Linked DNA regions of Lonchura striata. The protein of the gene in region 2 interacts with the protein of the main gene of each other region in a pairwise test. Links are inferred from orthologs where the notes say so. Each region holds a gene or a part of one and is shown on either strand. Other genes may lie near its edges. The genes, in order: FABP3 and SHTN1.

Region 1 (15,476 bases), on a different chromosome or scaffold from region 2:
AATCATAAAATCCTGGAATGGGTTGGGTTGGAAGGACCTGAAATCCCATCCAGTGCCACCCCTGCTGTGGGCAGGGACACTTCTCACTGTCCCAGGCTGCTCCAAAGCCCTTCCAGCCATGGAGCAGCCACATTTTTATCCTCTGGGAATGTTCAGCTCTCCTTGAGTCCAGCTGCACTTCCAGCCCAGGCTGTGCCGATTTGCTGCACTGGAAGAATCAGAGAATCATGGAATATCCAGGGTTGGAAAAGACACACACACACAAGGATCACTTAGTTCAGCTCCTGGCCCTGCTCAGGACACCCCAAGAACCCCACTGTGTGCTAGAAAAGGGATTTGTTTCTCTTGGAGTAATCTTGGCTGTTAGAAGCCCCCAAAAAGGGGAGAGTGAGGATTTGTTGATTTTTCCCAGTCAGCACAATGCCCATGTGTGCTTTTTTGTCTCCTGCTCCATCCCCAGGAGCATCCTGTGTGTGACATCCTGTCCTGCCTTCAGCCCTCACATCCTGAGAAAGTTTCCCAAGCTTTGGAATGAAACTCTTGGTTGTGAAGGTTTCCTCAAACTTTCTCACCATGTGCACAGGCTGGAAAAGCTTGAGAAAATTCTCCTTGCTGCATCCCCTTCTCTGGAGGATTTAACTCCTTCCATCCTCTTAGGGCTGGGAGGATTTGCTTCTGCCTTTCCTCGGTGGGTCAGGGACTTTGCAGTGAGTCTGTTGTTACCCCACAGGAAAACAGACTCAGTTTTGGGTGGCATTATTTGCTGTTAGGGAGCTAAAATGTGCCAAGGGTCTGGTGGGTGTGAGCCACTCCATCCTCTGCTCCCTTCCCTGGAATCCCAGAGGACTCTGCTGGATGCTCAGCTCTGGGTGTTCTCTTTGCTCTTCCAGCTCCCTAAAAGAATTGTTCTGTTTGATTAAAAATAAGCTTCCAGCTTCTTTCTTTTTTCACCAGCTGGTAGCCAGGGCCTGGTGCTTGGACACCCAGTCCAATTTGGGCACAGGTGCTTAAAACCTGGGTTAGTCAGAGCCCTGAGCTGGGCTTGCTGGGCCACATTCCTCAGCGGGCTGTCCAAGCCTGTCCCAGGGCTTTGGTCACCTCAGTGGCCATCTCTGCTCCCTGAAACCCTCCTTGGCTTCTTTGCTTGAGTCCTCTAATAGGGCAAAAATTCCTGATCAGCCCCTCTGGAGCCAGGCTGGAGAGCTGGGGGTGCTCCCTGGAGAGGAGAAGCTCCAGGGAGAGCTCAGAGCCCCTGCAGGGCCTGGAGGGGCTCCAGGAGAGCTGCAGAGGGACTGGGGACAAGGATGGAGGGACAGGAGCCAGGGAATGGAATTGGAATGGAATTCAGACTGGAAATGGGGAGATTTGGGTGGGATATTGGGAAGCAATTCCTGGCCATGTGGGTGGGCAGGGGCTGGGCTGGAATTCCCAGAGCAGCTGTGGCTGCCCCTGGATCCCCGGCAGTGCCCAAGGCCAGGCTGGAGCTCCTGGGACAGTGGGGGTGTCCTTGCCAGGGCACAGAGGTGGAACTGGGTGGGCTTTCACCCAAACCACTCCGTGGTGCTCAGAGCCTTTTGCAGGAAAGTCTCTCAGGCACTGCCTGGCCTGGCTGGAGCTGGTGGATCCTCCTTGGAGCTGCTGCTGCTGTGCTGGGACAGGAAGCTGCAGCTGTGCATGAACCATGTGCAGGGTGCAGTTACTTTAGGGGCCCGTTCAGCTGCTTCCCTTCACTTCCCAGAGCCAAGGGGAGGGAACACCTGAGTTTTTGCAGGATGGGGTGTGTCAGGCCCTTGGGAGCTGCTGGCAGCATTCCTGCTCCCCACTGGAAGGGGATACAGGGGATGAGCTCTGGCATCAGTCAGATCCTCTCTCTCCCCAGGCCTGTGCCCTGATTAAATATCCCCAAATTGCCGTGCTGCATCATTAAACACTGCCTGGGGGTGATCCCAGTGCCCCCCAGGCCTGATCTCAGTGTAATCTCTGCCTGCTGCTTTGTCACACACCTCAAGTTGGAGGGTTTAGGTCCATTCCAGAGTCCCTCATGGGCTTTATTCCAACACCAGCTGTTCTCGTGCTGCAGCCGAGGGTCAGTCTGGAGCTCCTGGCTCGGGGCTTTGCAGAAACACAGCGTGGGGCTAGTGCAGGGGGAGAGAGCAGCAGAGGTGCAGGGGAGGCTGGGGAGCAGGAGGGGAGGCTGGAAGAGAAGTTTGGGAGCAGGAGGGCGTTCAAGGAAAACTGGGAATGAGGAGTGTAAGAAGGAATCTTCAGGATGGGGTGCAGAGGAAACTGGGGAGCAGGACAAGGTGCAATGGGAAGATGAGCAGGATGGGGTTCAGGAGAAATTGGGGTGCAGTGGGAAGTTGGGGAGCACAAAGGGGTGCAGAGGAAATTGAGGAGCAGGAAGGGGCACAGAGGAAGTTGGGAAAGAGGAGAGGGTGGTGAAATCTTTAGGGAGGTTGTGCAAAGTGCCACATCTTGCAAGAGGGCACTGACCTCGTCCTGCTGCTCCACTGGGCTCTCCTGCCTGGAGCTGGGAGTGTTTGGGTGCTCCAGTGCTCCTGTCCTGGCAGGCTGGGGGCTGGTGGTGGGCTGGGGCTCCAGGGCTGTTGCTCATGGCTGGTTTAGAAACCGAATTTTTGGGCAAAAAAGCCTCATCCTTCCAACTTTTACTAATAAAGAGCAATGAAATAATGGAATGAGAGCAAGAACTCTCCTTCCATGAATTATCCGGTGTTTTCCAGCCTTGGATTGCCACATTGTTGCCCTCCTGCTCCCATTCCTGCCCTGCTCTGTGCCCTGCCCCTGCAGCTGAGGGCTGGCAGTGGTGATTAACTCCTGCCTCCTGGGGCACCGTGCCCTTTCCATGCAGGAGCAGGCCCAGAAAGGCTCCTGCTGGCCTGGTGAGCACCAGGGAGAGCATTCCCACATTCCCTGGCTTTTCCCATGTTTTCCTAGGAGAAGAAGAAGAGGAAGAAGCACAAGGCCAAGCAGTCCTCGGAGTCGGACTCGGACAGCTCAGCCTCGGACAGTGATGGAGCTCAGCCCTCCAGCAAGAGGCCCAAGCACTCCGGGAAAGCCAGCAAGGCTCCCAAGAAGAAGAAGAAGAAGCACAAGAAGTAGCCCTGGGGTGAGCAGGGCAGGCTGGGCTGCTGCCAGGGCCGTTCCCTGGTGCAGCCAGCAGGATCAGCAGCTCTCTGCTCCAGAGACAAGGACTTTCCTTCTCCAGGTAGCATGTGGTGTTACAGGTGTTGACCTGGCTACGAGCTGTCCCCTGTCAGCTTGGGATGGGGCTGCCCCTTTGTCCCACAGCTGCTGCCAGCACAGGCTGATGACACCCTGCAGGACACCCCTGCTGTGCCACAGCCTGGTGTCAGCTCCTGTGGCAGCTGGGGGACAGCAGCCCTGCAGAGCCAGGCCCACGCCGTGCTGGGGACAGGGTTTGGTGGGACCACAACCCCCTGGCACAGAGCTCTGGGCTGCAAAGCTGCCCCGGCTCCCTCGGTCTCTGCAAACACCAGGAGTGGAGGAGCAAGGAGCAAGTGGGGGAGTGGAGATACTGGGAGTAAACATGGACTGTGGAGTGTTTGCTGCCTTGGAAAGGGATGGAAAATAAATCTCTGCTCTCTCCAGCTGTACTTTGTACCAGCTCCTTTCTTCTCTACCCTCCACACTTCATCTTGGGCAGGGGGAGAACAACGCTGGCTGTGTGCAGGATATGGGAAAGGGTTTTTTTTGGGAAGTTCTGGCTGCTTCCTGAGGTTCCCTGGGGTGGAAAAGGGGGGTGTGTGATGAGGTAACCCGTAAGGAGAAGCCTTCTGGAGGGAGCATAAATCTTGTAACTGGAGCTGAAGGTCAGGGGAAGGGATGGCAGGGGGAAGGTGCCAGGAGCAGCTCGGCCCTGCTGGGACAGATGTGGAGCCGCCCCTGCGGCCTCTGGCTCTGCAGGGAGCTGGCACTGGCAGCTCTTGGTGTGCCAGGAGAGCTGGGACTGCTGATGCAGCCTCCCCTTCTCCTTTTTCCTCCCTGTGCTTCCCGCTCCAGCTCCCCATGGCTGCATCCCCCTTTGGGGCCATTTCCCTTCCCAAATCCGGCACCGAGAGCTCGGCACCTTTGTTCCAGGGGAGCCTGCCCCTCTGGCTGGGGCTGTGGGGCTCCCTCCTGCCCTGGGGAACCGGCCTGGCTGGGAGGGGCATTCCCGGAGAGCACAGCCAGAAGTGATTCTGCAGCGTGGAGAAGAGGCTGGGATGGGCTACTGGGCCCACTGGCCATTAACCCCCTCCCTGCCACCCCTGTGGGTGGGTGGGCATGTGCCAAAAACGCCTTTTCCCGAGAAAACCGAGCACAGAGCTGTAACAACACCTTTATTATTTTTCCATGTGACTTTTCCCACTATCAATTAAAAAAGAACCCAACAACAAACACGAAACCACCACCCGAGGCCCCGGAGCCTCTGCAGGCGGGGGCAGGGGCGGCCCCGCTGGGGCAGCGGCTCCGAGCCCACCGAAGCCGTGCCTGGCACGGGGCCAGGAGGTGGGGACAATGTGGCACCGGGTGACAGGCAGGGGACCTGGGACAGCGTCTATGTCGCCTTCTCGTAGGTGCGGGTGGAGACCACGTTGCCCATGGTGAGAGTCTGGGGGCAGAGAGGTGGCAGGAGTTAGTGCTGCTTTGCCTAGCTCTGAGCTGACCCACTTCAAACCATTTCTGAGGCAGGAGCCTCAGAATAAAACCAGTTCTGAGGTGGGAACATCAGAATAAAACCAGTTCTGAGGTGGGAACGTCAGAATAAAACCAGTTCCTTACCAGAACCAATTTCCCATCCTTCAGCTCTCGGACCAGCGACGTCTCCTTCCCCTCCCACTTCTGCACGTGGATGAGTTTGCCTCCATCCAGTGTGACCAAGGACTGCAGGGAGGGATTCAGAGCCACGGTTACTTTCCGGGTTTCTGGGCTCCGAGGGGGTTTATTCCTCAGAGGGGGCCCTGGAGCCCCGCAGGGCTCGGGATCAGCCTGGGGGTGCCCCTGTGGGGATGCCCACCTGGCACCATCCCCGCCTGGCTGGGTCAGCCGCGCTCAGCCCGCCTGGATCTGCACTGGCTCACGGCCTGGCTGCTCCCCTGTGACCCCAGTGCCACCGGCAGGGTCACCGTGCCCTCCGTGCCCCGGGCCACGTCCCGCTCCGGGGCCACCCGGACCTGGCCCGTTCGCGCTCCCGAGCGCGGCTGGCCGGCTCCGGCGGGGACCAGGCAGGCGGGGCAGCGGTCGGGCTTGGAGCCGAAGCGTCCCTGCCCTGCAGGGCCCGCCGGGGCTCCTTGGAGCGGCTGCTGCGGCAGACGCGCCTGAGCTCGCCGCGCTGCTGTTTGCAGAGCGCCGCTGCTGACTCAGCCCCGGGAGCCGGCCCGTGCCAAGGTTACTGTGACAGCGCCGGCCGCGGCACGCACGGCGGGGTTGTGCCGGGACAGGCGCTGGCACCAGCGCTGGCACCGCCTGCCTGTCCCCATCCTGCCCTGTGCCCCCCACCCAGCCCCTCCGGAGCCAGGGGCTGCCCCAGGGCTTGGGTCTGTCCAGAGCTCAGGTGTGCCCCAGCCCCGCATCCCCACAAGGCTCTGGGTGCGCCCTCAGACCCCGATTACCCCATAGCTGTGTCCCCCCACTGCTCAACTGTCCAAAAGTTTGGGTACTTGCAGGGTGTGGGTGCCCCACAGCCAGAGGGCAGGGATGGATGGAGCACCGGGGAGAAATTCCTCCCTGGGAAGGGGCGAGGCGCTGGCACAGGGTGCCCAGAGCAGCTGTGGCTGCCCCTGGATCCCTGGCAGTGCCCAAGGCCGGGCTGGACAGGGCTGGGAGCAGCCTGGGACCTGGAAGGTGTCCCTGCCATGGCAGGGGCGGCACTGGATGAACTTTAGGGTCCGTTCCAACCCAAACCATTCCAAGCTATCCCGGGTGCCCCACAACTCCCCGCACCCCAAGGCTGACCCCAGTGCCCCATCCCGTCCAGCCCCGTGCCTCGGCAGCCGTCCTGGCCCCGCTGACCCATCACGTGCCCTCTGGCCCGGCCCAGGGACACCCCAAGGGCACGTCCCGGGCCGTGGCAGCAGCTCCGGGCCGGTCACACGTTCCTGCTGCTTGAACAGCTTCCAGCAGCTCCGCGGCAGAGAGGGACCTCACACTCAGCCCCTTCCCCCAGCCTCACTCGAGCCCAACCCTTTGTGCTTCCTGCTCTGGGGCCAGGAAAGGGGTTTGTGGCCGAAGAGCCCCCAGGTTCCTGCTGAGGTGCCCCCCGGGCTGGGTGTGGGGCATAGAGCTGCTCCGTGCAGCTGGAATCTAGGAAAAATCAGGAGCTGGGCCACTCCTTCGAGGGAAAATGTCCCTGCAGGCTGGGAGAGGCCAGGAAAGGCACCGCTCTCTCTCAGGTGATTTTTTTCCCTTGCTCTTACAGAGAGGAGCAGCTTGGTCTGGGAAGTTTTGAGCTCCCCAGGGACCCGCAGCCCTGGGACGAGCCCTTGGAGCGGCACCGAGCAGCTGGGATTGCCCCGGTGCTGCATCCCTGCAGCGCTGCCTGCTTGGGAGGGCAGGCGGAGGGGAGTGGGCTCAAAAAACAGGGGTGGTGCCCCTCTACCCCCGGAGCAGGGACACTTCCCACCACCCCACCACGGCCTCCTCTTGAGCAAGCTGGCACTCGCCAGCCCGGCTCTTGCACAACCTTCCCGGCAGCTCCGTCGTGCCCGGGAGAGCCCCGCTGCACCACGGCTCCGGGGGTGCCCGGCCGGGAGCGGGCTGGAGCAGCAGCCCCGGCGGGCACGGGGCCGCTCCCCTCGCACAGACAGCCAGGATGGAGCCCCGGAGCCCCGGGCTGGCGGGGCGATCCCCCGGAGCCCACAGAGCCTTTCGGGGGTGCCGCGGGGCGGGGCGGGGGGCTCACCTTGACGTGCCTGTCGTCCGCCGTGGTCTCGTCGAACTCCTCGCCCAGCTTGAAGGTGATCTCGGTGTTCTTGAAGGTGCTCTGGGTCTTCACGGTGACCTTGTCGCCGTCCAGCTCGATGATGGTGGTGGGCTTGGTGAAGCCGGCCACCTGCCGCGTGGCGAAGCCCACGCCTGGGGAGCGAGGGGGAGGGCGTGTGGAGGGGCACGAAGCGGCCACCCAGCCCCGGCATCACCCCCGAGCTCTTCCTCCCCGTGCTGGTGGAGGGTGAACCCCAAAACCGCTGCCCGCTCACGGTCCTGGGGGGCTCCGTGCGCCCCCGGGGCAGGAGCAGAGAGGGGGTGCAGGGAGGGATGGATCCGGGAGCAGCCCCTGAGCTGCGTGAGGGGGGGGCTGCTGTCTGTCCCCCATTCCCTGCCCTGGGCTGGGCTGGGGGACTCCCCCGACCATGCTGGAGCTGGCTGATGGGGGGCTTGGGGGCTGGGAAAGGCTGGGGGGTTCCTGAGCGGCCCCCAGCACCCACGGGGGGCATCTCATCCCTCCACCCTCTGCCAAAGGCTGCCCCTGGAGTGGGCACGGGAAGGACGCGACCCTTCACCCCCTCACCAGCCCGAGCCCCCTCACCCTGCCCAGCCCCACGTGCACAAAACCCCAGAGCCCCTCTAAACCACCCACGGAGGCAGCAGCGACTTCTCCACCGCCCACAGAACCCCGTGGGGAGGCAGGGGTTCACCAGGCAAATTGGGGTGGGGGGGTATAGGAAATAAAAAAAGGGGTGAAAAAGAGGTGACGTGACCCCGAATCCGCTCTCAGCCGCGCCCACTCACCCAGCGCTTTCATGTACTCATCGAAATTGTTGGTGTCCACCAGCTTCCAGGTGCCCACGAAGGCGTCGACCATGGCGAGGGGGCGCGGGGGGCCGCAGACGCGCGGGGCTCCGGCCGGCTGCGAGCGTGGCACCGCCTGCAGCTGCTCCGGCCCCGCGGCCGCCTTAAATAATGTCCTCATCACATGATTGGAAAGAGCAGAACGCGCTCCAGAAATACTCCCCGGCAGCGCTGCCAGCGGCCACCCCGGCCCGGCCACCCGCCCCCGGCCACCGCCCCCCGCCCCGGGGCAGGGGTGGGCACAGCGAGAGGGGCACTTGTGCCCTGAGCCGTGCCCGGGCTCTGCGGGGCACGGCGGGGACGGGCTGCGGGGTAGGGGGGCGCTGAGGTGGGCGAGGGGGGTCTGTGCCCAGCCCAGGTGGTCCCGTGGGTGCGTGGGGAGGGGCAGTTGCTGCCCCTGGGCACGGTCAGGGCGTGGGGACAGCGACGGCGGTGATGCCCTTTAGGGACACGAGTGGCGGGGATAGGGGAGCTGAGCTGGGGAAACTGAGGCACGGGGATAGGGGAGCTGAGTTGGGGAAACTGAGGCACTGGAAGCAGGGAGCACCGGGGAGGTGTGTGGGAATACGTGTGGGGACTCCAGGAGAGTGTGGGGACATGTGAGACACCCCCTCAATTCCGCGTGTCTGTGGGGACGCGTGACCCGGTCCCAGCTCGGTGTGCCTGTGTGTGTGGGCACGTGTGTGACCCTGTTCCCTCCCTGTGTGCGTGGGAACACACGCGTGTGCCGCCAGTGGTGCTTCGGGTGCCGGGGGGACGCGGGGGACAAGCACAGACGGGGCTGTGGGACCCCCAGCAGGTGCCCCCATGTCCCCGTGCTTTGGGCTCCAGCGCATCCCCAGCCCCTTCCCGGCGTGGGTGGGTCACCCCTGGCCGTGGGCTCCGGTGTCCCCTGGAGCCCCGGGGACGGTGCCCGCTCCTGCCCCCACCCCGGGCCGCGGAGGGACCCAGCTGGGGGCTCAGGTGTCCCTGAGCCCGGTGCTGCAGCGTGTCCCCTTGCCTTGGGGACTTGGGGGTCACAGGCACCAGGGCCAGGAGGGACCGGGGACACTTTCTCCCTGTCTCTGGCCTCTGTGTGACATCGCAGACACCCAAAAATAGCCAGAGCTCGTGTTCGGCGTCCTCCTGCTGGCACTGCCACCGAGCAGGACCCCTCACCTCGTGCCCTGGGGGCACAGGACTCGTCCCGTGGGATGCGTGTCCCTGTCCCGCCTGGGACACGGGCAGGGCGCTGCTCGCCAGGGTCACAGGGACAAATCATTCCCCAGGGACACAGAGCCCCCACGGCCGGGGGGACACCGAGGGCAAGGACTGTCCTCTGTCCCCTCACCTGGGTGGCAGTGCCCCAGACCCGCACTGTCCTGTCCCCTTTACACAACGGGACCAGGAGATGGGGACATTGACAGGAACAGCTGCCCTGGCACGGGGACACCCCAATATAGGGACACCCGGGCACAGGGACACCCGGGCACAGGGACACCCCAATATAGGGACACCCGGGCACGGGGACACCCACTGACAGCGACACCCGGGCACAGGGACACCCGGGCATAGGGACACCCCAATATAGGGACACCCTGGCACGGGGACACCCCAATATAGGGACACCCGGGCACGGGGATACCCACTGACAGCGACACCCGGGCACGGGGACACCCGGGCACAGGGACACCCCAATATAGGGACACCCGGGCACGGGGACACCCCAATATAGGGACACCTGGGCACAGGGACACCCGGGCACGGGGACACCTGGGAACAGGGACACCCCAGTATAGGGACAGCCATTGACAGGTTCACACACTGACAGGGACACACACACAGATATCCCTGCACATGCACAGACACATGGATGCACACACCCACACAGATGCACACACACAGATATCCCTGCACATGCACAGACACATGGATGCACACACCCACACAGATGCACACACACAGATATCTCTGCACATGCACACACACATGGGTGCACACACCCACACAGATGCACACACACAGATATCTCTGCACATGCACACACACATGGATGCACACACCCACACAGATGCACACACACACAGAGATACTCCTGCACATGCACAGACACACACAGCGATATCTCTACATGTGCACACACACATGGATGCATGCACACACGCACAGATGTGCACACACAGAGAGAGATGCACACACACACAGATGTCCCTGCACACACACACACACACACACACACACACACACACACGCACACACACACACACACACACACAGATGCATGCACAGGAGCTCATGCCCATAAATGCTCATGTAAAGGAGTGTCTGTGACCACGGATGCACACATGCACACATTGATATCCACTGCACGTGTGCACAGACACCCACACAAATGCACACACACACACACACACAGATATCCCTGCACATGCACACAGATGCACACACACAGCAGTGCCCCTGCACGTGTGCATGGATCCCCATGCACACAGATGCCCATGCATATGGATGCAATGCATGCACACACACACGGATGCACACACACACTTGGGTTCACACACATGGATGCACACACACACGGATACACACCCTCATGGATGCACATTCTCACAGGTGCACACACACATGGGTTCACACACATGGATGCACACACACACACGGATACACACCCTCATGGATGCACATTCTCACAGGTGCACACACACATGGGTTCACACACATGTGGGTGTATATGAAGTCCATACACACAGATGCCATGACCATGGATCACCACGCACACGGATATCCATGCACAGAGGTGCATATGCACATGCATGCCCATGGACACCCACATGCACACGGGTCACACTGATGTGCACGTGCACACCGATGCTCCTGCACATCCACACAGATGCCCACACACATGAATTCCCATCATGGGGGTGCCCATGAACACACACATGGGTGCACACACACAGGGGTGCACACACACATGGGCACACACATGGGTGCACACACACATGGATGCATTCACACACACGGATGCATACACACAAGGATGCACACACACATGGATGCACACACACACGGATGCACACACACACACGGATGCACACACACACGGATGCACACACACACGGATGCACACACAGACAGATGCCCCTGTACAAGGACACACATACATAAATGGATGCACACACTTGGATGCACACGCACAGATCACACTAATGGATGCACACATACACGGATGCACAGACACATGGATGCACACACACACACACACACAGATATGTCCCTGCACACACACACACGGATGCACACATATGGATGTGCACACACAGAGATATGTCCCTGCACATGCACACACACATGGATGTACACATACACGGATGCACACACACACACAGATATCCCTGCACACACACACAAGTGGATGCACACACACACGGATGCACACACACACAGATACCCCTGCACACACACACACGGATGCACACACATGGATGCACACACAAACGGATGCACACACACACATACAGATGCACACACACACACAGCTATGTCCCTGCACACACACACAAATGGATGCACGCACACACACACAAATGGTTGCACACACACACGGATGCACACACACACAGATATCCCTGCACACACACACATGGATGCACACACATGGATGCACACACAAACGGATGCACACACACACATACAGATGCACACACACACATAGCTATGTCCCTGCACACACACACAATTGGATGCACACACACATGGATGTGCACACACACGGATGCACATACACACACAGCTATGTCCCTGCACACACACACAAATGGATGCACACACACATGGATGCACACACACACGGATGCACACACACACGGATGCACACACACACATACAGATGCACACACACACAGCTATGTCCCTGCACACACACACAAATGGATGCACACACACACGGATGTGCACACACACATGGGACTCCATGCCCATGAATGCCCATACAAACGAGTGCCCATGAGCACACAGATGCCCCCACACAGCGATGCCCGTGTGTGGGGGTGCCCATGACCCTGCACATGGATGCACACACGCATGGCAGCCCATGACAATGTAAATGAGTGCGCACGCACAGGGATGCCCACGCACAGGGATGCCCACGCACAGGGATGCCCACGCACTCGGGCTCCCATGCCCACGAATGCCCGTGTAAATGGGCGCCCACGCCCGCGGATGCCCGAACACACGGGTACCCACACCAGGGATGCCCCTGCACGTGCCAGCCCTCCCTCCCGTCCAGGACTGCGCTCCACGCGAGGTGCCCGGGAGCCCGATGGTGGCCGTGGGGTGCTGGGGACGGTGGCCCCGCCCGTGGGGCTCTCCTGGTCCGCGGGGGCGGCCAGAGGGGCCCTGGGCTGGGGATGCCTTCGCTGGTCCCACAGCGACAGCTACAGGTGACCGTCCGGGACGGGATGGGATGGAGGGATGGGACGGGATCAATCCAGCTCCATCTCCAACCACCCTGCCCGGCTCCGGCCAGCGACCCCCAGAGCCGGCAGAGGAGTCCTCCAGTGCCCGGGCAGGAGGGTCCCATCCCGCCCTCTGGCAGAAGCAGAGGGTTTGGGGAGCACGGAAAGCCGCACTCTGTGTCCCCCGCATCCCCAAAGGCCGCAGGACCCGGCTGGCCCCGCCCGGGGCTGCGGGAGAGGATCCGGCGTGGGGACAGTGGGTGACCTGGCTCGGGGGGCTGGGGCTGCTCCAAACAGCATCGCCCTGCTCCCCACCCCCAAACTCACCGGCACCCCATCCCCGGGAGTGGGGACCACGCTGGGGTGCCCTGCTCCCCAGTGGGATCCCTCAGAGACCTGCTGGCAACCCGGGAGCTTTACCTAAGGGCTGGGGGGGTCTCGGGTTGTGTTTCCCCACCTCACCCCCCAAAAACTGGGAGTGGCTCCTGAGTCACCCAGAAGAAAGGTCAGGAGACGAGGTGGTACCCAAAAACATCACAGTGAACACCACACTCAGCAAGAAACACCCGTGGCTGCTCCTGCGGCCAGGAGGGCCCCCCCGGGACCCCCCCCGCGCTCGGCTCCGCCAAATGCCCCAGAAGAAAAATATTCCTCCCCCCGGGGAGGCCAAAACACCCCCTCCCCCCGAGTCCTGGCCCAGGGCGTGGGTGGGAGTCGCCCCTTGGTCACGGCAGGTCCCCTCCGTGTCCCCTCCGCGTCCCCGCCACGCGCGGCTCCCCCATGGCCGGGGGAGCTCCAGGGCCTCGCTGCGGCAGCACCGAGGGGATCCCGGCGGGCTCCGGCGGTGCCAGGAAAGCCGGGCCGGTGCCCCGCGGGCTCCGGCGGTGCCAGGAAAGCCGGGCTGGTGCCCCGCCGCCTCCTCCTTCCTCCGCCGCTCAGCCGTGTCCCCGGCGGGGTTAGGACGTGTCCTTCAGCTCGGGGCTGGGCGGCTGCGGGGAGGGCACCTCCGCTGAGGGCGACTGCATGTCCTGGGCACTGCCTGCCGGGAGAGACGGGAGAGGGCCACGGGATGGGAATCACACAATCATGGAGGCTGGAAAAGTGCTCCGAGAGCATCGAGTCAACCCTGTGCCCGATAACCCCTTGTCCTCAGCCCAGTGACCAGGGATGGGCACTCCAAACCTCCCTGGGCAGTTCCAATGCCTGACCACCCTTTCCATAGAGAAATGTCCCCCCATATCCAACCTGGACCTTCCATGGCCGTTCCCTCTCCTCCTGTCCCTGTTCCTGGAGCAGAGCCCGACCCCCCGGCTGTCCCCTCCTGTCAGGAGCTGTGAGAGCCACAAGGTCCCCCTGAGCCTCCTTTTCTCCAGGCTGAGCCCCTTCCCAGCTCCCTCAGGGATTCTCCAGCCCCTTCCCAGCTCCCTCAGCCTCTCCTGGGGCTCCAGCTCTGTTCCCTTCCCTGGACACGGTCCAGCCCCTCAGTGTCCTTGTCCCTAAGAACGGGATGAACTCGGGAACCCCGGTCCCGGCTCACCCCACATCCCCCCCATCCCCTGGTCACCCACCTGCGCTCAGGGACATCTCGGCCAGTTTGAGGGGCAGGTCGGCGGGGCTGACGCCGGCAGGCGAGCCCAGGATGTCGGGCAGGGCATTGCGCCGGCCCGTCCTGCTGGAGGATGCGAAGTCCAGCACGGGTTCCACCTCGGTCATGCTAACCCTGGGGAGAGATGTCCCCTCTGTCACCCCCGGAGCACAGCGAGCTAAAGGGAGCCGGCTCTGCTCCGGGCCGGGTGCTCCGGTGCCCTCTGCTCCCCCCTGCACTGCCTCTGCCCGACGGGAATGGAGGCAGGGCCACCCTGCTGCCCCGGACCCCGCTGGTCACTGCAGCTGGAGCGAGGCGCTCCCAGGTCCCACTCCCCCAGCCCGGGCAGCCTTACCGGGCAGCCTCCAGCCTGGCCTGGCACCGCCTCTGCCCCGTGCCCGGGGGAGGGACACCGCGGGGGACAGGGATCCGTCCTGGCTGCGGCCCCTCGGCTCTGACCTGCGGGAGGCAGAGCAGGGGTCACCAATGGGGCCGGGGGACACGGAGCAGGGAGCGAGTCTGGGGGGAAACCAGAATGTGTCCCCAGGGGAGCACCCACAGCACCCTGAGCCTCGTCCGTGGGGGTGGGTGGGGATGGAGGGATGGATGGATGGATGATGGATGGATGGATGGATGGATGATGGATGGATGGATGATGGATGGATGATGGATGGAAGATGGATGGATGGAAGATGGATGGATGGATGATGGATGGATGGATGATGGATGGATGATGGATGGATGATGGATGGATGGATGATGGATGGGTGGATGGATGGATGGATGGATGGATGGATGGATGATGGATGGATGGATGGATGATGGACAGATGGATGGATGGATGGATGGATGGATGGATGGATGGATGGATGATGGATGGATGGATGAATGGATGGATGATGGATGGAAGATGGAAGGATGGATGGATGATGGATGGATGGATGGATGGACGGATGGATGATGGACGGATGGATGATGGACGGATGGATGATGGATGGGGATGCAGAGGTAAAATGGAGGGAGGCCGAGCCAGCACTGCCAGGGAACTTCATGGAGTCCCCAACCTGGGGACAGCCTGTCTCCCTTGGAGAACGGCTCTTGCTGAGCCAGGCAGGCAGCAGCAATGGTGGCGTGCCCTGGGTGGGTGGGGGCACTCCTGGGAAGCCTCAAGAACCAGGAAAATCCAACTGCCATGGAGCCATGTAGTTTCCCGTGCTGCTGTGACCTTCTCGAGGTGTTTGCTCAGCTCTGGAAACACTCTGAGCTTTTGCCATGGGAGGTGGGAGTGGCACAGGGGTGGGGGATGGCACAGGGGTGGCACAAGGGTGACAAAGGGGTGGCACAGAGGTGGCACATGACTTGGCAAGGACAAGGAACCCCCCCCCACCATCCCCTCCACCCCCCTCAGAGCACAGGGACCCCAGACCACCACCCCAGCAGCCCCATCCCCTCCGTGCCACATGTTGGTGGAAGCACTGGGACTGCTGTCCCCAAGCTGGTAGCAGTGGGGGGTGAACTCACTGGTGGTCCGCTGGGAATTCCTGCTGGCAGCTAGTTCTGGGAGTCACTGGGAGTCACTGGGAGTCACTGGGAATCCCCGCTGGGAGTCACTGGGAGTCACTGGGGGTCACTGGGAGTCACTGGGAATC
Region 2 (15,020 bases):
GGTAAAGCAGCAATCACTTATAATATATTTACAGGAACTTTTCTAGAGTGGGACAGCCAGAATAGTTGTGAGAGTTGCATTCATTGCTCCATAAAACACATAGGTACAAGTAATATTAATATTAAGTAACAGTGAACTCAAAAAAGCAGTCAACAATCTGCCACAGTCCACAAGGTATTCTGGTACTTAGCATTTTAGTATTAAATTTATAATTGATTCATACAAACCTCTTCCTTTGTTTTCTTATTTTCTGCTCTAAGCTCTTCATATTCGCCAATAGCTACACAAGGGGAAAAAAAGTAAAAAAGTTAATATAGCAGTACCTCTCCCCAAATTAGCTCTCCATTTGATTAAATTGAAAACTCTTGTTTCTCTATGCAGATTTCTTAAATAACATGGATCATAAACTTCATTAATAGCCTATTAATATCCTATGAACTGGATAGCCTCCTAAAATTGAAGCAATTAGGAAGTGTCTGAAAAAGGTGGTAGCTCCCAAAACAATCAATTACTGATCAATGTAGAGCTAAACAACCTTATTGAATGAGTTCAAAAATTACAAGGTGAATAGGCTGGTTTGCAGTGACCATTTTAAACCCAGACTGGCTCAGGTTACAGATCTATCCTAGAAAGAATGGTTGGTGTGATATATGGGTACCTGCAGAGTAGCTGATCCGTACACCAGTAAAACCAAGGTCTCCCATCAATCCCTTTACTTTGTCCCCACTTCTTATGTACCCAAAATTCCTACCCACCACCCACACCCAAGAAGCAGAAAAAGTAAAAAAACCAACAAAAAACCAACAGGTAGATGAACAAACAAGAAAAAACAGTGGTGAAATAATGTACTTCCTACAAAGGAGCACAAAGGCTGTGCCTCTTAAGAGGTCACTGCTCCACTGCCAAGCTATTCCCTGTTCCCCTAAAGAAAATATGAGAAGAGACTTCTACCATCCAGATGCAAGAACAGGAATGAAAACTGTACCAACAGATGTAATTCAAGTTTCTTCACACTTGAAAACTGCTCGTGTTAGCTCGCCTTTAAGGCAAAGTTATTCTTGACATTCTGTACTTTACAAATAACTGAAAAATGTAAATACAGATTTGCTCCACCCTCGACAGCTCTCTTCATATGCCTCATGAACAGAGAACTCTGACTCATTAGCCCTGAAGGAGAAAATAACAGAATATTCTGGGCTATAGCTCTTAACCTACCCAAAATGTATTCTCAGCCAACCCTGCTCTTTCTTACAGTAAAAGAGTAAAACCCCAAAACAGCCAACATGAGTGAACACAGCATGTTCCTTCACAACAGTGGTCTCACTTACTCACCAGCTACTCACTCCCCAGCTCAGCTGGCCAGAAGGGACTGTCTGGAAACATATCAATGCCCTTAACCAGCATTAAATTAAGCAGGTAACTTTGTATGCAGAAGGTCCTTTAATTATAAATTTTGATTTTCAGTTGTGGACCTGTGTCTCCTGAACCTGAATTTACTAACAAAACGTAAGTATTACCTAAATTAGATGTTTTATATATTAGGTACTTGCTATGGCTGAATAGGACTTATTACTAAAACAGGGCCATAAGGGTAGAAGTATATCATGATTATAATTCACAATGAACAACAGGAAAGACACCTTCATTTACACAGAGTGAGATGATGACTCTTCCTACTCTTTTTATTAAAAAATTAATCAACCCCTTTCCTAAAGCTGCATATTAAAAAACACAAATCAAAGAAAAAAACACCAAACTTTAAAAATGTTACATGCATATACTTCAATATTTATATTGCAAACCAGGGCAGCCAATTGAGAGTCAACTGAGAGCCATTCCATGCCAAATCAGTAAGTAATGCCACTTCAGGATTTAAAATCTACTTATTTACTAAAAAAAATAAGTAGAGCTGCCCAAGGAAGCAAGTGTCACTCCACTGTTTTTGCTTCCATACCATGGACCAGGCATGTCTTTACTGGTACAGGCAGGAGAAAGAGCTGACAGTGCAAGAAGTCCTCTGCTCCAGATGAAACAAGCTAGCCCAATTAAGTCATATTTTGTTGGTAGAAGTAAATTATCACCTGGCTTTTTGGATGTATCATTAGAGACAGAATTACCCCTGTCAGCACCAGAAGATTTAATGGAATTGCTGCCACCACATTGCTCCTCCCAATATACCTGAAATAGGAAGAATCAAGCCAAGAATGCTGTGAAAAATCTTGAACAACAGTGGCCTCCTACATGTACAACATGCACAAGACTGTGAAGTGCTGTTAAAAGGATAAAAAAAAGCCAAAAGGGGTCATTTTTTCCCTTGTTCACCATTCTAGGCTCAAAGGTCTCTTCTGCTAAATCCAACTTATCAGTATTTCAACAGGATTCAGCAAGGCACCAGCAGCACCAGCCAGGTACAAACTATTTTCAAATACTGCAATTATTTTCAAATAATGCCTTGGGTGGCACTTTTAATCCCTCCTTCTGTTAAGGGGAATCTATGGGACAGCATTACACTCAGCACCTTACAATGACTCCAAATCTTCACACACAGTACACAAACCTATTATCAGGCCTAAAGCTTACATGGGCAAACCAAGCTTTGGTCAGGTATCAGTTGCATTTGCTGAAACCAGCACAGCTAAATTATCTTACAGTCCTTTAAAAAATAAATAAAAATCACCTGGGTAAGTACGCAAAGATAAGTGTTAGGTACAAACACTGTAAGTCAGCTCCTGCATCTGTGTTCCCATATGCCTTAATTTTATTAAAATCTGTGAAAGTGTGTACAAGTAAATTGAATTAAACCCTGAATTTGCATCAAGTCTTAGAGCTTCCTTGAAAAAACAGGGCAGGAAAACTAAACACACCACTGCCTGATAAAGACCAACTACTAAGTTCACACCGAAAGATTTCCCTTCACAAGTTTCTGAAAAAAAAATAGGGTTCAATACAAGAAACTGAAGTGGGAAAAACATCTGACCTCTAATACATTCAAGCAGGATGGGTTCTGCTTGGGAATAATGGCTGCTGTGTATTAAGATATACACACAGGTACACAGGGAACAAATAAATTATAGAGCAGGTGACTATAGAAGGGAAGACAGCAGCCAAGAAGGAGTCCTAAGAAATTCCACTGGCCATAAAAATTAACCATCTGCCACAAAGTAGATTGAATTTGTCAGACCACATTAGGAGCTTGTCAATAGCATACATTTAAAAGGTACTGCTCTGAGATATTGCTGTCAGGTTGGCAGGCTAGTCTGTTCCTAAGAAGATACATGTATAAGATGTTCCCTTATTGAAAGGTGCTGACAGTATAAGAAAAAGTTTTTAGTGATCAAATAGATCATAATTTAAAAAAAAGTATACAGACGCATAGTGCTTAGGACTAGAGATTGGAAATCATCGCACTTCATCAAATCCAGCCAACAAACACAGAGCAAAGTTAGACCTTTCAAAAATGAAGGGAAAAATCCAGGCAATATAAATACTTTTAGTATATGTGTGGTTAGCAGCAATTGTTAACCACTGTACTTTAGCAAAGTGACCAGAAATGTGGCTATGACAGTGGCAGTGCTGAAGTGTAATTTTACTTAGTTTATAACTCCAGACACTTTGACCACTGGCTCCTGTTTTCAGCTGAACAAAAAAGGGACTATTGCAGAAGCTGACTCTGTCTTTAAGGGCAAGGTACCAGCAGTACCAATAAAACCAAAGACAAACAAGGCAATCTTCCAGACAGGTAATCAACTATTGTTATGATTCAGCTGTTAGTCAAGTTTGCTACCATTCCTCAGGTTCTAAAACCAACCACTAATAATACAAAGTTTTACCAATTTGCTTTTTTTTTTCTTTTTTTAGCCATAGGAATATAAGGGCCAGTTGAATAGAAGTGTGCATCACTGGAAACATCACTTAAAATACAGTGAGGCAATAGTAATATTTATAGAGAGACAGCTTTATTAAACCATGACATTTCAGAAAACTATTTGAGGATTAAAACTCAAACAACACTTTTAAGTCCAAAATACCATCAATACAGAGATCTTGTTTCTTCATGATGCTCACCTTAAACTCAGTAATGGAGCAAGCTGAAGAATGATCAGTATCAGGTATCTGAGTCTAACACACAGGACTTGGAAAATTCAGCATGGGTGAAAGATAAGAGTATCTTGCACACAGATGGCTTCAGTGTCCTTTTTGCTGCTCAGAGCTTTGCCAAACAGCCAAGCAGCTTTGCCCAAGCCCCAGAGAGCTTCACAGCTGCCACTGAGAATTGAGTGGGCAGCTACAAAACACCTGCCTCAGGTTCAGTCTCCCGACCTTGGTGAGGAGAGGTAAAAACAGCAGTTGGAATGTGACAGCAGCCAGCCACAGACGCTGCTACCCCACCTACGGCACCACTTCTCAGACACTGCATTTACCTGGTGCCAGGCAACCCTCACAAGACTAAAAAAGCATATCCTGAAAAAGAAACCAAGCCAACAGCTACTGAATGAATGTCTTCTGAAACCTTTCCAAACCCATTTGCATTTTGCAGAAATCTGACTACACATCAGAATGTTACAAAAACCTGAAGACTTACACCACTCTGAAAAAATAAAGATAGGACGAGTCTGTGTAGCCATTACCCCAGATATTCAGATCCAGCAGATCCTTCCACCAACTGCATTTATTTCCAAGCAAATACTGATATCTGCATTTGGAAGCAATAAACAAGAAAATTAAGAGTCTATGTTCAACAGACCATCCTAAAATAACCTGAGGGAAGTTGGTAGTATCTAAAATAGCCTTGTTTTGCTATCAATAAGAATGGAGGGGACACTATTCCAAATTACAGTACATAAAGAGTTAGCAAATTTACTTATCTACAGTAACAATATCTTTTATTTTACAATTAGAATAATTTCATTTATCTCATTACCTTTTCACTGCTTGAGTTTTTCACTCTAGGAATCAGACTCAGTCAACTACTGATTTGCGCTACCATATTTTTTTGCATAGTTTTAGATGTAAAACAGAAAAGTATTTTAATTTTTTTCTACTAGGTAACTTTTTGCCTACATAAAACAACTTTCTCACCAGCCACAGCATCACAAAAGCATATGTTAGCCTAACAACACCTCACTAAAACTCCTGTGTTTAAGGATGAGCATCCACCAAGAACAGAGCCTTATAGGACTGGGTCTGCCAAGTACAGCTTCTATTTCAACAGCTCAGGTGATCTGGGACAGCCAGTCCTCAAGTTACAGTAACTTTCCTTTGCACTAATTCCTCTAGTCCAGTAAAATTTCCTTAGACATTAAAGGATACCCAGCACATTGGAGGAGAAGACTTTCAGAAAGCAGAACTGAAGCCCTGCTCTAAACAATTTCAACAGGCTCAGTTTTCTCTAAAGAATAACACAAGCTTCTCTTTTTTGCAACTGGTCATTGTCATTTTAACAAATGCTCTCTTGGAGGCAACAGTACTAGAGGGAAGCAGTCAGTCAGTATGAGAACCAGATTTTGAGCCTTAGTTTCAGATTCCCAAAACGCTCAGCTGTAAGATTATCATTTTACACCTAATGCATCCTTCCAAAGGAGAATCTATCTTGTGTCAATAGTAATCAGGAATTTCCTAAGCTGAGCGTACAGGAAAAACCCAAAAAGTGACAAAGCAGGTCATAAATAGTCCATTAATACTCAAATGAAACGCGGTTAGGAAAAGCTTCTGCTGTACAGCAAAAGTGATGGAGCACATTTTTGGTCAGAATGAATGACAGAAAAATGGGCACTGATCACACCCCTGTAATTTCACTCTTTTACACAACTTTGCCCAATAGTTCCTTTCCAAATTGCCCCTCCCTGGCTCGAGGGAGATGAGGAAAGCTCAGCTGTGGGAACTGCCACATGTGAATTCCAGCGTGGCTCCTTCACACCTCCTGCACATGCAGCTGTGGCACAGGAGGCAACACGGACTGCTTGGTGCACGGAAGATGTTCACAATTCAAACAGATCTTCAAACATTTGAATGTGCCCACCTGACTAACTAAGGCTGCAGCTTTGCTGGGTCAACCTGGCTGAGAGGCAGACTGACCACAGGGGAGTTCAGAGTGGCTTATGAGCACCCCAGCTCTTTTCCATGTGCATTCTTGCAGAGGATTAAATATTACAGTGCTCTGGTTTCTGAGTCAGACTATGCACTCCTGAAACGGAACATGCTGAAATTCTGGCCTTTCCTACTAAAGCACCGAAAGTGACTCACACACGAACCAAAGCAGCCCAGGATGCCACAGAAACCGAGAGCGTATCAGCACAGCCCTGAGCCATCAGCGGGAAGTTTGCCCGCTGATGGCGACTGGGACCGCAGGACGTGGACGGTCGGGCCAGGATCGGACCCTGCAGCACGGAGCGGGAGATGGGACAGGCTGACAGGCTCGGCACGGCCTGGCCCAGCTCCAGGTCAGGCCGAGCTGCTCGGACGGACAGCGAGGCGGACAGCCTGCCAGCCCTGGAGCTGTCCGGTCCCGCGGGCTCGGGGCTCCCCGCGCCCACGGCCCATGTGCGGCACCGCCACCGCCATCGGCCCCCGCGACGGCCGCGCTGGCAGCGCCGCTCCAGCAGCCGTGCTGGAAAATCCCTCGGAGATCACCGGGACCAGCCCATCTGCAGCCACAGCGGGCACCTGCGGGGCGGCCAGGCGGCCGCGGCGGCGCCCACCTGGGGAAGAGCCAACACGTTCCGCTGCCCTGCTTTATTCCATTAAGGCTTTTATTATCTCCCTCTGCACGGGCAGGACAAGGGGCCTGGCAGCGGGGTCGGGGACGCCCAGGCCGCGCCCGCCGCGCCGCGCCCCGTCCCCCCGGTGGGCGCGGAGCCCTCGCCCCGCGGCGGCCGCGCTCCGCCGGCCGAGCCCGGGCCCGCGGCGGAGCGGGGGGAGCCGCTTTCTCCAGCGCCGGAGGCGGCGCCGCCCGCCCCTACCTTGGTCCTTCAGGCTGGCGAGGAGCTCCAGCTGCTTCTCCTCGTCGGAGCTGTTCATCCTGCCCCGCCGCTGCCGCGCTGCGCTCCGCCCCGGCGAGCGCGGCTTCACCTGGCAGCGGGCGGGCGGCGGCGGCCGCGGCCCCGGGGCGCGGCGGGCGCGGCGAGCGGCCCGGCCCGCTCCGCTCTGCACATGCCCAGACTCCCGCGGCGCCCCAGTGAGCATGTGCGGGTGCGGGCACGGCGGCCCGGCCCGGCCGCTCCGCCGGGCGGGACGCGCCGGGAGCGGCGTCCCGGCTGCGCGGGGAGCCCCGGAGCCGCTCGGCTGGAACGGGCTCCTGAGGTCACCCAGCGCAGCCTGTGACCCAGCGCATCCGTGCCACCAGGCGCCACGTTCAGGCTTTCTTTGGACGCCTCCAGGGATGGTGACTCCACCACATCCCTGGGCAGCCCATTCCAATGTCTAACGACCCCTTCTGTGAAGAAATTCTTTCTAATGTCCAACCTACACCTCCCCTGCCTTAAGACTGTGCCCCCTTCTCCTGTCACTGGTTTCCTGGGAGCAGAACCTGACCCCCATCTGGCTCCAACCTCTTTTCAGGGAAATGTAGAGTGAGAAGGTCTCCCTGGAGCATCCCCCTGGCTGAATACCCCTGCTCCCTCAACTTCTCCTCATGGGACATGTGCTCCTGACCCTCCAGTAGTTCGTTGCCCTTCCGTGGATTTGCTCCGTCACCTCAATGTCCTTCCTGAATCGGGGGGCTCGGAATTAGACACAGTGCTTACGGTGTGGCCTGACCAGTGCCGAGAACAGGGCAAGCATCACTTCCCTGGGCCTGCTGCCCTGCTCCCTGGCAGACCAGGACGCCTTCTTGGCTGCAGCACGGCCAGGTCCATTCCCCTGGGCCGCTTGCCAGCCGCCCTCCGCAGCGTTTTACCCCAGCAGGGCTGGTGTGGCCCAAGTGCAGCGCTGCCCTTGGCCTTGCTGAGCCTCGTGCTGTTGCTCTCGGCCCATCGATCCAGCCTGTCCAGGTCCTGCTGCAGACCCCAGGCAAGGTCTCCTACAGCATCAGTCCCCCATGAGCTGGGATTAAGCCCTCCTGCTCCACTCCCACCCAGCTGCTGCTGTGTTGCTGCATTTTTAATGTGCCCTTTTGCACAGCTAGAATAGCACAGCTTTCCACTGAGGAGCCCTGACCCGGAGAGTGGTGGGACATTAAATGGTTGTTTGAGTGCCTTGATACAAAGAAAGCTAAAAGGGTTTTAAAAACCCCCGGAAGCTTTTTGCATTAGTGTTTGTAAGAATCCATGGGAAAACAGCTGCATTCCAGTGCCCAGCACTTGAAGAAAACTTTGGTAGAACATCAGGGCAGAGGGCTTTGACAGAGACCTGCTGTGCTCACCTCAGAAGAACACACTGCTATTCTCTGATGATCCCTTTCTGAAAAAGGAGGAGATCCAGTGATAATCTCTGTATTGAAATTGTTACCCTACCCAGCTTACACCAAGGCTGACAGTAAGTGCAATGCAGAGTTTGTCTCTGTTTATATATTTTGCTGAGCTCCAGCAGCAGTCAGCTGAGCAGCAGCTATCTCCAGACTGGCATGGGCAAAGGTACACTTCATATGCCTCCCTCCCTCCCTCCTTCTTTGCAAACACTCATCAACCCCTGTGGCAGGCAGGTCAGAGCACACAGATGTGGCAACATTAGTTAGAAATATCAGAGTGAAAGGCAAAAGACCCTACTACAAACAGTTGCTCGGTCCTCCTGCCTCCTTCCTCCCGTACAGTATCCTCTAGTTTCCCCATTTTTTTCTAGTAAGCCTTTAAAACATGGAGAGACTCCATATGGATGATTTACAGCACTTTCTGTCCCACAGGTAGTTAATGACACGTGTAACATCCTGGAGAGAAGCCATAAGAACCATGTGAGCTGTGCTGATGTCTCAGAAGCATGGTATGCCTCCTGTAAGGCAAAAGAGGCAAGTTTATAAAAAAATAAGTCAGCTTATTTTGAATTAGTCAGCACAAAACACCTTTAACTGTATTAAATGCAAGGTTATGAATTTGTGCTCCGAGTCATATGCAAAGAATGGGAAATGACCTTGGAAAACGAAGGCTCTGCATAGGAAGTGGGAGGCAAAGTGCAAGCAATGATGTAAGTGCTGTTGGAAAGTTACTGCTGCAAAAGAATGGGGGTATGCTGACAGCAGGGTAAAAAGTTTCTTCTGTAACACTGACAGGACCAAAATAAATTTTTGGTATCCAGGTCTTCAAAAACAAAAAAAAAAAAGAAAAAAATTATAAAATTAATTAATTTGGTACAAAAAATTTAAGGAGAAAGCACAAGAGAAAAAATATTACCCAAGGTCTGAGGGGAGTGCTTTGCAACGAGAGACCTCAAACCCTTGATCTTTTTAATTGAGCAAAAAGGAAACAAATTATTTGGTTTTGGCAGTTTCAATATTTGAGGGCTTTTCAGCCTAGTGGAAAAGAGTCAACCAGAATGTGTCTGTAACCAGAAGCTGAACGTAAAAGCTACAAATAAAGACACACATCAATAAATGCCTCCATTTGAAGGAACACAGAGGTCCTATTTAGGTCCTTGGAGTTCTGGGATGACCTTGATTTTGAATAGCCCCCACTTTAAGTCAGAGCAGTTTTGCCAGTGTTTTACTTTTTAGTGTCCTTTCTTGGGCTGCCTTTTTGGCTTCCCTTCAGCCACAGGTCTCCTTCCAAGTCCCTCTTCCCTCTGCTGATATCATTCCCTTTCATTTCCAAACCAATTTCCTTTATGCAGTGTAATAGCAGGATTTGCAAAAGAGTCATTGTAGGGTTGCTTATCCCTGCCCGGTGCCAAGGCACCAGACATTTTCATCCTCCAACAATGTTCTGTCTGTTGCATGCAGTCAGAACAGGGCATAAAATCCCTTTGATATCTGCAAAGGCTGCAAGTCCACTCTTCCATTATTTTATTTATTTACTCAAGTTAAAGTAATATGTCCACATCAAAAGGATTCACTTCCATAATTTCTATATTAGGGTTTCATAATTTTTCTTTTTGTTTATATTCACTTATATTTACATCCAGTTACAATGCCTTGAAAAGTCAGCATTAAAAACAAGGATCTCCTTGTTTCAGACCATGCTGATTGCAGGAGTAGGATGGCTGTCACTGCAGTAGTATTATTTATTATTACTATAGTAGTAGTAGTAATAATAATATTAGCCAATTGTTGCTAATATTTTTCTAAGTTAGGGGATAGCTGAAAAGTTAACTATATTACTAATAATCTATGTTCTTTGGGAGACCAAAATTCAGATGGATTCATCATACCTCTAGATTTCACCAGCTCATAGTTGCAATGAATGAGAATCTGTCTGCTGTTCTCAACTACACAGTAGCCACTAATCATATGAAGAAGGATAATTACAGAAAAAAAAAAAAAAGAAGAAGAAAGAAAACAAAAAATACTGGAAGTTCTAACTTTGTCTTACTTTGGATAGATCTTAGTGAGATGTTGGACCCCTCCTGTTATTCTGACTAATGCTTGAACTTGATGCAAATGATCAGTACCCAACAGGTGTGTGCAACTCAGGCTCTTGTACCTTCTTGCAGATAATTTTTTCAACTTTTTTCATGGTTCATCTCTTGAATGAGACTTTGATGAGTAGTCAGATGATGGACTTGAAAATATTAATGACAACCTGGAGTACGTTGCAGTTCATTAGTCACATAAGTCCTAAATTAATGGGATTTAGAGTGAAGACCTAAGAATTCATAACATCATAGAGTTTTTGAAATTCAAAATTCTGAATAATAAAATTTAAAACAATTATTATGTGTACGAACAATTTTGTCCTGGGACTACCTAGAGACAGTAAATGTGAACTTTATCTATAAAATAAATGGGCATACAGAAGTAAAGATTTTGTTACCCTATCAAATAGATACAACAGTCAGGAATTTGATGTGGTTGTTATCTATCTATCTGTCTATCTATCTATCTATCTATCTATCTATCTATCTATCTATCTAAAATATGCATATTCCCATTCCTCATTTTGGGATAAAATTTCCTCAGACCTTCTAATGGATACCAAATCAGCTTTACCTCTCCCTCATAAATAAAGCCTCAATATCTGCAACGACAAAGAGCAAGGAAGGGAGCAGTGGGCCCCTCTGGCTGGGAGAGAAAGGCATTCCCTTGGGAAGCAGTGCAGTCCATCAGCCCCTGCAAAGCCTGAAGTGACTCCTGAGGTTCATCACCCTCCTGTTGAGCAGAGCTACCTGGTGGAAAGAGCTGTGACTGCAGGCTGAGCATACCCTCAGGGCACGACCACAGCCATATGTTTACTACTTTCAGAACAGACAGATTTTATGAGGAGTGGGGGGACAAGATAAAACAAACTACATAATCACTGCACAGATCAACGACTATCAATAAACCGGAAAAAAAAAGTAGAAATGGCAGTAGCTATTTGAGCATCTAATTAACAGGATGAATAAGACTAAGCAGCTTGTCTTGCTGAGGTAATGTATATTTTTCCATCAAACCAATCAGTGCTGAATAATGGCCAGCATAATATATCAGGGTAAATATAAGCACTTCTTGTCTCCCTAGGACAGAAACTAACTAATCAGCACACATTCAAACTGGAGTATAAGTATGATTAAAGATAAAAACCCTCAGATAATACAGATTCATTTGAAAAACTTTAACCATTTGATTAGAGACACTAGCATGATCTTTGCTAGTCGTCTCCATCTAGGATGGCAAACATGTTTGTCTCTGCACAGCAAAAAGGCACAAATTGATTGGGAGATAAATCAGAGGAAGATTAAGTATTTATCATGGCATTTATAAATACTCTAATTGTACCATAATTGACAATCCTGGATATTAAATTTACAACTGTAAACTATAACTAGGCAAATTAAATCTACTTACCCTTCCCAGCAGTTCATTGTATTTTATGGATGCTCACCTCATACAATTTGGTTGTAATGGGTGCATCCTCTACCTTCAAGCACAGATGGGAGAGGTGTGAACATCTGCCAGCACCTGCATGGACACACACTTAGAGATAACAAATAGCTCACTAGTGAGATCTCCCATGCTTCCAGCCTGTCAGAGGCAAATACCATGCTTTTGGAGAGGTAGAAATTGAGTCACTTTTCAGACCCCTTTCCCAAAGTGGGGGACCCTGTTGCACCAGTCTCACTGGGGAGGTTGTTGTTGCAGTGGCTTTTATGAGTTCCTCTGGGGTTCTTTGCTTTGTTCTGCAGCAATTTGGATAACTGGGCTGCCAGAGCAAAGAATAAGAGAGGTTATATAGGAATCTTTAAATCACTAGGTGTTATGTGATGGTGAATGACAATAGCAAAAATGTTCCTTTTCTTTTTTTCCCCAGGAGGAAGGGATGATCTATTAAAAAAAAAAAAAAAACCAAAAACAAAAAAAAAAAAAAAACACCAAAAAAACCACAACAACTTTAGCCATACAGGATCAGATATCTCTATGCTCATAATTTCATGGTGAAACATGGACATAATTTGATTTTGGTGTGGGCTGATGTTTGTGATGGGAGAAATCTTAGGGAAACAGCACACTGCAAGCTGATGAAGTGTCACTGAATACAAAAACTTATTCCTTAGTAAGTTATTCCTGGAGCTTGCAGTGCTATTTCTTTAATAAATAACTAACATAATGTCAAACTAAATAATAAAATCAGCTAGTTAGGAACTTAAATACATTACTATACAACAGTCAAGGTCATTTGGTACTGATCATAAGCATCTTAAAAGACCACTCATTATGCATAGCTTTTGAATTCAATGCCACTGTTATTTTGACTACATCTTTATTATGCTGATCTGCAAAGTTGCCATCATAATTAATTTCTACAGAAAGGGCAAGTCATTTCACTTTTATTAAGCAATTTTGCAGCTTATGAAAAATAACCCATTGCCCTGCTTCCTCAACACACTTTCCATCTAGTATTTATGTGCAACTGGAGCCACTTTGTCTGTCTCTCTCTCCCTCTCAGTTGAACTTTGCATACATCTCAACAGCAGTTGATGCTTTTGTTCCTGTTGCAGAATTGTCCCTTTTCTGGTGCTTGCACTACCTCCATTTTTCCACATAATTAGGGTCAGATGCTAGTTCCCTGAATTAAAAGGCATTTGGGCTCTCCTTCCAGCAAGCCTTTCTACTCCCTTCTTGCAAAACAAAGCTGTCACATGCATTCTTTAGCTGGTGTTGGATTACATTGCACCACTTGACCACACTTATTACACTAAGATAATTATGCCAGGTATTTTGCTGATAAAAATCACCATGGCGTTATTGTGTGCCGTGGAACTCTATCAGTTCATGTCAGCAGAAAATTGGATTCTTTGTAGGAATTTAGGGAAAAATCTCCAAGTTGCCCATAAGGATTCTCACCAGCTTAACCAGCATTTCTGGAAGTCCTTCAACAATGCAGAAGTAAAGGAACCAAGGAGTAAGCAAATTTATTTCCATAAAAACACCCCACAAACTTTCTGCCACTTGCCCAACTCTACATCATCAGGTATCAGACAAATACATCCTTTGCAACATTTGATTTTGCTGATTTGCAGTGCCACAGGCCAGCTCCTACAGCTGACAAAACCACTGCTCCTGGTTGTGCTATAAAAAGAGATGAAGAAATTCTGTAATGAACCTTGAACTAGAAATTCTGAGAAGCTTATAAAAGGCTGCTCAGGAAGGAGAAAAAAAACCTGCTCTCAGTGGAGTTTTGCTGGTACTAGACTTGACCCAAAATGTTAAAATTTAAAAGAACTCCTTGCTCTTGGAACCCATGCAGGACAATTCATTTATGTGAGGCTGAGCCATGGGTCAGCTGGACCTGGGGTTTGCCCTGTGGCTTCTCAGCATTGAATGGCCTTTCAAAAAGCTGCAAGTTCCCACCAGAGTTTGAAACCAAGAATCACAGACATTGAAAATGGAATAAGTGTGCCCATGGAGCCTTTTGGTCAACAGGACACTCCAGTGTGTCTTCTCTATCAAAGCAGGTGATACAATACCTCCTAAGAGTGACATTGAGGGAAAACATCCTGCTTGTCATGCTGGTTCCCATCTTGAGTTTAAAATTATTCCCAGTTCACCTCATTTTAACAAAACAAATTCCTTGGATGAAAGGATATACTACTTCTATCACCAGAAGTAGCATATATGATATTCTCACTCTGCCAGTGCTTTTGATTTGTATTCTTTTTTCTACATTACGGTTTTTTAATTAAAATAGATGGCAAATCAGGCATTAGCCACATCTCTGGGTCTGATCAGTGAGTTATGTGCTGGCTTAATTGCATTACTTTTAACTGACTTGCTTCACATTCCAAGTATCAAGCATATCATTACTCATATATAATAAATATACAATAAATATACAATAAGTATAATAAAATACTCAAAAGCTATGTGAAAATTCTGCTTTTATGAGGTAGTCTCAGAGAAGAAAGCTATTTCCCACATAGTACAAAACTAGTGCAATAAAACAATCTAATAAATCAGAGTGTTCTCACAAGGTGAGTTGTTTTGTCAGTTGAGTACTTGAAATGCTATCTAATGTCTCTGTGGAAATGGCTGAAAGAAACAACAGATGTCTCAGATTTTTGCCTTTCATGTCTTATTAAAATCAAGCAAAGATGGAAAAGCAAACAAAGGGTTACTCATAATTTTTCTCTCCCTGGAAGAAGTTCCTACGAACATCACCTACAAGAAGAGGCTGTGATAACTGAAAGCCAAAAAGCAATTTAGATAATGATGAACATTTGTGAAAGAAAAGATTCATTAAGAACACTATTCCCAAGGATAAAAGGTGGGAAGGAGACAAGAAATTCTGCAAGCAGCTGATGTGAATAACGTGGCAGTGCCACTGCAGCCTTCAGCAGAGCCATCTTGCGTTGTTCCCTGCCACTCACATTCAGCCGATGAGCCCTGAAGGAGCTGGTGGTCTGATTTGTGCTGGAGATTTTTGATTTCACTCCCTTGCTCAGACTCACAGCCCTGGCCC

What was found.
Region 1: the proteins of SHTN1 (region 2) and FABP3 interact in binary tests that used the Homo sapiens proteins (3 or more experiments, as listed by UniProt). The two-hybrid records come from large-scale screens. The link is inferred for Lonchura striata from reciprocal best matches to the Homo sapiens genes SHTN1 and FABP3.

Annotation. Positions count from the first base shown.
Region 1 is NC_134628.1:6,712,748-6,728,223, reverse strand, and holds FABP3 (fatty acid-binding protein, heart), read right to left. Parts: upstream 7,953-15,476; 5' UTR 7,931-7,952; coding exon 7,750-7,930; intron 7,096-7,749; coding exon 6,923-7,095; intron 4,906-6,922; coding exon 4,804-4,905; intron 4,634-4,803; coding exon 4,580-4,633; 3' UTR 4,349-4,579; downstream 1-4,348. Other genes in the region: ZCCHC17 (zinc finger CCHC domain-containing protein 17), read left to right, coding at 2,956-3,120; cAMP-dependent protein kinase inhibitor beta-like, read right to left, coding at 13,199-13,281, 13,811-13,955. UniProt on the Homo sapiens protein: FABPs are thought to play a role in the intracellular transport of long-chain fatty acids and their acyl-CoA esters.
Region 2 is NC_134609.1:26,093,595-26,108,614, forward strand, and holds the start of SHTN1 (shootin-1), read right to left. Parts: upstream 7,099-15,020; 5' UTR 7,018-7,098; coding exon 6,960-7,017; intron 281-6,959; coding exon 228-280; intron 1-227. UniProt on the Homo sapiens protein: Involved in the generation of internal asymmetric signals required for neuronal polarization and neurite outgrowth.